2 linked regions of the Kluyveromyces lactis genome follow. The protein of the gene in region 1 interacts with the protein of each later gene in a biochemical or structural test. Links are inferred from orthologs where the notes say so. Each region holds a gene or a part of one and is shown in the gene's direction. Other genes may lie near its edges. The genes, in order: VID24 and FBP1.

The links.
Region 2: of the proteins of VID24 (region 1) and FBP1, one has a biochemical effect on the other in vitro, tested with the Saccharomyces cerevisiae proteins (2 studies listed by BioGRID). The link is inferred for Kluyveromyces lactis from reciprocal best matches to the Saccharomyces cerevisiae genes VID24 and FBP1.

Annotation. Positions count from the first base shown.
Region 1 is NC_006038.1:832,868-836,112, forward strand, and holds VID24 (glucose-induced degradation complex subunit VID24), read left to right. Parts: upstream 1-1,546; coding exon 1,547-2,548; downstream 2,549-3,245. Other genes in the region: SND3 (Snd3p), read right to left, coding at 1-288. UniProt on the Saccharomyces cerevisiae protein: Substrate-recognition component of the GID E3 ligase complex recruiting N termini and catalyzing ubiquitination of proteins targeted for degradation.
Region 2 is NC_006041.1:125,043-128,184, forward strand, and holds FBP1 (fructose 1,6-bisphosphate 1-phosphatase), read left to right. Parts: upstream 1-1,237; coding exon 1,238-2,305; downstream 2,306-3,142. Other genes in the region: PBP4 (Pbp4p), read right to left, coding at 1-185; 1-acylglycerol-3-phosphate O-acyltransferase SLC1, read right to left, coding at 2,502-3,142.

The DNA of each region.
Region 1 (3,245 bases):
GGCAGAATCAATCTGTTGTAAATCGTAATCACGAACGGTAGTGACTTCCAATTTTTTCTCGGTTTGACCACCCAATGGGTTAGCTGGAGCCACGTATTTCAAAGTGGCCAAATCGTTCTTCTTAACGATTTGAGCTCTAGCGTATTGGTAGATGGACCAAGTGATGGCAACAGAAGCGACATAAGCGATACGGATGTACAACACGATCGAAGGATCCTCCATATCCAAACGACGAGATACTTGCATCATGATCAACATGATGACTAGGTTACTGATTTGAGCATTCATGGTGGTGGTTAGAGAGTTACAGCTGGGATTGGCTTGGTAAGAAAGAGCACTTCTCTTCTAACTATGAATTGCTTATCGACGGCAGATTCCAGTGGACAAAGGACAACTAACTAACTAATTATTAGAAAAGGCATACATAAATCAGTAAGTATATAAAGTTGAAAAAGAGTAGTTCCGATAATACGTGCAACAAGTAGTAGTGCATCATTTAATAGATACGTATGTGAAAAGATGGTATACAGATTTTATTTTAAATTCCAGTCTGAATGTGGAAGAAGTGACGAGAAAATCTTTTGACGATGAGAGAGATACCCATTGTGTTACCCGGAATAACGTTGAACGGTGGCGAAAATACAAATATAGCAAATATACATATATCCGGGTAACATAAGCGGGCGCGTTATAACAGTAATCACGTGACTAGAAGAGCCACACTTTTTTGACAGCATACACCGAGCGTAGAGAAAGAAAGAGTTAGCTGCGCTAAGTTGTTACCCGCACCTCGGAACAAACCGGATCGGGCTATGTCTGTGAATGTTCCTTTCCCCTGTAGCAACATTCTCTCGTATTTCTTTTTGTGAACTTTGGTCCTTCTTTGATTCTTCCTCCGCCATTTCGTTGGGTACCTCTCTGTTCCAACTTGGTGCCGGAAAAAAAGAAAATCCAAAACGAAAGGTTTTTCCGGGTATTTTGCCCAGAAACCGGTGCACAGTCTCTTCGATATTTCCCCCCGTTTCTTTTCCTTCAACACCAGACTCGCACCTCGATCATAATTCACTCCTGAACACATTTACTCTCTTTTTACTTTTTTCCATTATGTGTCACTCCTTTCACCTATGCAGCCATTTTACTTCTGTCTCTGCCTTGTTCATTGGTTTTTCCCAGTCCAGTTGATAGGATAGAGTCATGGTTGGAACTGGAAATCTTCCTCTTCCGCGTGTTTCATTGTCGGTTTCTTTGCCGTGTTTTATTTCTTTTCCTTTTATCTCTTTTTCTTATTTCTTTATCGATGTCGATCTGGTCTTCGCTTTTTAAAGGTGGCCTGGTGATGCTTTTTATATTACCTTCTTGATTGAGATAGTTATTATTATTATTATTACTATATATATGTATATATACCGAGTGGTTATTGTTGGACGTATTAATCTGTTCGCTGCTTCATCGCAGATTGCCTTTGTCAAGTGAGTTAGTTACTTGCTTTAGAAAACTAGTTACAACTTACAAGTTGTAAGGCAAGATACATTCATACATTTTACAGATGATCAACGAAGATACACGTTCGCATAGCTCTGGGTTGGAGACGCAACTCGCCAAGGCGAGTAGCTCGTCTCCATATAAGGGTCAGGGTCAGACCCAGGAACAACAGCAACAGCAACAGCAACAGCAAAAACAGCAATCACCTATAGCATTCCCTGCGCCTTTGACTCCTTTTTTCCATAGAAACCCATATTTCAGGAACACTTCGCTGCACAGAACTGGGTCTCACGATTCTATCAATTCGATACGGCGTTCGCATGAAAACTTTCAAGATTCGGAGGATTACGATATCCAGGACTCATGCTCACCATCTTTGAACTCGCCTCCTAGATCGAGACCTCAGACTCCCAAGAACCACGAAAGAACTCATTGGCTAGGGGCTAGAAAACGGTTTGTTGGGTACCAACTCTCGGGATACAAGAAGTTCCAAGTCATGATCACTATCCAATCTGTTTCTTTACCAAATGATAACGAATCCAACTGTTGCTCGCCTCATTTGACTGGATTCCTCTCTATAAAGGGTCTCACGGTACAAAATCCCGAGATCACCACTTTCTTCGAATCCATCACCGTAACGGATTCTCTAGGGTTTCTATCCAAAGATATCCCAATAGATTATGCGTCCTATAAGGCCTCGGACCAGACTGATTTGGAGCATTGGTTGAATTTCCCATCTTTCAAAGAACTTTGCATGCAAAACGATCCAAAGTATCCTTCTAAGAATATTCTACAATCTATCATCGATGGTACTTACTCACATACCGATTACTTGAATCAAAGGTTCCTTTACATGAGGTGGAATGAGAAATTCCTGGTGCCTGATGCCGATTTGGAATCAATAGATGGTGCATCTTACGACGGCTACTACTACATAGTACACGATCAATTACTTGGTAACATTCTGGGGTTCTACTACCATGAACATGCTGAAAGATTTCAACAGTTAGAATTGCAACCTTTACAAGAACCATCAATCGGAGATTGTTCATTCGAATTTGCATAATTAAATGACATTAAAATAAATAAAACCACATCTTTCATGGGGTGTTTTATTTTCATTCTTTTTTTCTGTCTCTTCTAATTTACCAAGTTCCTTGCTCCACTCATTTACTTCAAATTTCAGTTCAAGTTTACTTCTACACCACATTACATTAATTCAGTTAATATTCTAATACCAATTTACGCTTTCACTTTTCATTTCTACCTAATCACGTCTCTAATGTCATATAAATAATGGGATATACATCGTTACAATTTACTGCTCGATTTGTTTCTCCTAGAAACCGAACGTCATGAAAAAAAAAAAAGAGGCCCTCGATGAGGATGAAGAAGGGGCAAAAAAATAACAGCTCGCACTCAGGATCGAACTAAGGACCAACAGATTTGCAATCTGCTGCGCTACCACTGCGCCATACGAGCTGGTTTCTTGCACAAATGTTTTACTTTCAGTTCATATCGGGATTTGTGAACCATTGCAAAGAACCATGTCACGTGCTGCTTACTCATCACAGTCTTTATTCACCTTAAACTTGGCCTCCAAACATTCTGAATATCTAACGATTCTTCTTTGATGCCAAAGTAATTCAAGGTTACCCACTCCATTCACTGAATTCATAGTTTTGTACTGTCTTCTCAACTCGTCTTTCAGTTTTTTGCCCTCTATCCTCTTAGTCACTCGGCTTAAACATTTCGGAAACTTT
Region 2 (3,142 bases), on another chromosome or scaffold:
TTCTTGTTACTGCGTGAGTCCTGCGAAGAGATACTACTTCTACTGGTATTTTCACTTGTTACTGGAGTAGGAATGGCTGAAGCAGAAGTGGGAGAAGCGGTCGTATATGCCATACTTTTTTTTTTCAACGCAGAGCTTTCACTTCCCCAAGCACCAAGTTTCTTACTTTGCCAAGCATTAGCCATTGTTAAGCAGTGTATAGGAAAACCGGATGGATAATTCTATTTATTCCCAACGGAAAAGTACGTTACCAGACGGCGAAAGAGAGATCCTATGGAAATACAATCGTGTACACAAGGAACGATTTGATGGAGCTTACTTCCGCTCTACCTTGACGATTGTTACAACTGATCAAAGGAATATGCCGAAATCGCTTCTTCATGTTAGATTTTCTTATTGCAGTAGACCAGAACACGTGACCCGAATTTTTGGACGGATCTCAGTTACTTTTCACGAGATATCCGGGTAATATCACGGTATTTAAATCTACTTGTCAAACACCCATCAACCACACATACATAAATTCTCCCGGTCGCCCCTCTGGTTCCCCCCCACTACCGATACAGCACTGGCAGAAATTGGAAAACCAAAGACGAAAACATGTTCCCGGAGCTCCAATGAACCCACACATCACGATATATGACCCCAGATTCATTTAATTTGAAGATCAATAAAACCTTTTTTTTTATTTTCCCTCTCAGTGTTATGAGCAAAATCACCTTAAATCGCTACAGAAAACACATAATCAAATAGTACTTGCAAATCATGTTCTGTTTCAAGTGACTAGGAAATGCCTTAGCACACTACGTGCCATACTGCGTCCATAGCGAGCTTTTCTCATTCTGTTTTTCTTTTGTTTCCTTCGCGCCAGAAATGGTGCGGTTCTTGCGATTTTTCAAAGCTAGAAGAAATTCAGAGACCAGATAATCGATATCAGACAGAGTAATGAACTGGCTTCGTTGGTTTCTTCGGGGGTAGAATTTTCCGAATTAATCCGTTGCGTTGTCCGCTACTTGCGTATGGATGTAAGTCGTGTATATTGTCTGTTTGATCCTTATTTTAGTGTATATAAATTGGATTCAAACCAGTTTTATGATTTCGATCCTCTTCAGCACTTTATGACTTATTATTGGATTCGAGCATTAGTTTCAAATTAAAGGCATAATCAAGTAGAAAGAAGACTATTCAATTCATTTCCCTTCCGAAGCTTCGCATATCCCGATTAAATAATTAATAAATGGCTGGTATTAAACACAGAAGAGACTCAGCTGAGTCTATCAATACCGACATCATCACGTTGTCCCGTTTTATCTTGGACCAACAGCATCTTTCTGCGAAAAATGCCACTGGGGAGTTTTCTATGCTTTTGAACTCTTTGCAGTTTGCATTTAAATTTATTTCTCAAACAATTAGACGTGCTGAATTGGTTAACTTGATCGGATTGGCTGGTGCTTCAAATAGTACCGGTGACCAGCAAAAGAAGTTGGATGTGTTGGGTGATGAAATCTTCATCAATGCTATGAAAGCGTCTGGTAACGTCAAGGTACTTGTGTCTGAAGAACAAGAAGATTTGATCGTTTTCCGTAACAGCCCTGGTAAATACGCGGTATGTTGTGACCCAATTGATGGTTCGTCTAACTTGGATGCTGGTGTCTCAGTGGGTACCATTGTCTCTCTGTTCAAGATTCATGAGAATCAGAATGGTAACTCTGGGGAAGAAGATAGTGAGGGTACCATCAACGATGTTGCTCGTTGCGGTAGAGAAATGGTTGCTGCTTGTTACACTATGTACGGTGCGTCCACGCATTTGGTTTTAACTACCGGTGCAGGTGTCAATGGGTTCACTTTGGACAATAACTTGGGTGAATTTATCTTGACTTACCCAGAATTGAGACTACCTGAGCAAAAATCTATTTACTCCATCAATGAGGGGAACACCTGCTATTGGGAACCAACTATCGCTGATTTCATTGCCAAGTTGAAGGAAAACAGCGAAGAAAATAACGGTAAGCCTTACTCTGCTCGTTACATCGGTTCAATGGTCGCTGACGTACACAGAACTTTACTATATGGTGGTTTATTCTCTTACCCAGGTGATAAGAAAAATCCTAACGGGAAGTTAAGATTGTTATATGAAGCATTCCCAATGGCTTTCCTTGTTGAACAAGCTGGTGGTAAAGCCGTTAATGATAGAGGTGAACGTATCTTGGATTTGGTCCCTCAACATATTCACGACAAAAGCAGTATCTGGTTAGGTAGCTCTGGAGACGTTGATAAATATTTAAAGCATATCGGTAAGTTGTAAATACGTATACGAACCTCCCATCAACAGAAGAAAATTAAGTAACATAATAATTCATGAAATACCACATTAAAAATAAATTAATAACCGACCTTGAATAACTATTTCACGATTCCAGTATTTACATTTATCATACATTCTCTTGTATTATAGAAAGTACTGTTAAATATAAAAAGTAAGAATCTCTTATTTATATTCTCTAAATAACTTCTTTGAGTAAACTACTACGTTCAGTGGGTTCTGGATTGGTCACAACAGTCCCATTAGAGTGAATAGAAGAACGGTCCAGGTCAACTATTTCCTCTTCGTAATCATCTGCAGTCAAACGATGCTGATCTTCAAAACGTCTGGCAGAGTTATACGCGATCACATCTGCAGGTAAAACGGTATCCACGATGGCTTCGGAGTATCCAATATTTTTCAGCTCGTCGTTCATCAACTTGTGAACACGGTTACATAGATCACCTACGTCTTCTTTCTTCAAATTTTCCGTGCTAATTGGCTCAAGAACCTTGACTGTTATGGTACCCCTGTTAAAGACTCCAGACCTGGGGTGATAGATGGAACTAGTGTTTGATACAACAACAGGGATTATCTGTATTTTCCCCTGTTGCGCCAAATGGAAAGCACCTTTCTTAAATGCTGATAGTTCTAGCTTTGTAGAATAAGATCTAGTTCCCTCAGGGAAAATCCAGAGGGCCCTTTTATCCTTCTTTAGGTTGGCCAAAGAGTCATTTAAGACCTTGATGGCCTTTTCTCTGCTAGATCTATCCAAGAACAAAGTACCGCTAAGACTCATAAACCAACCCAGTAAGGGAACCCACTTTATCTGTTTCTTAG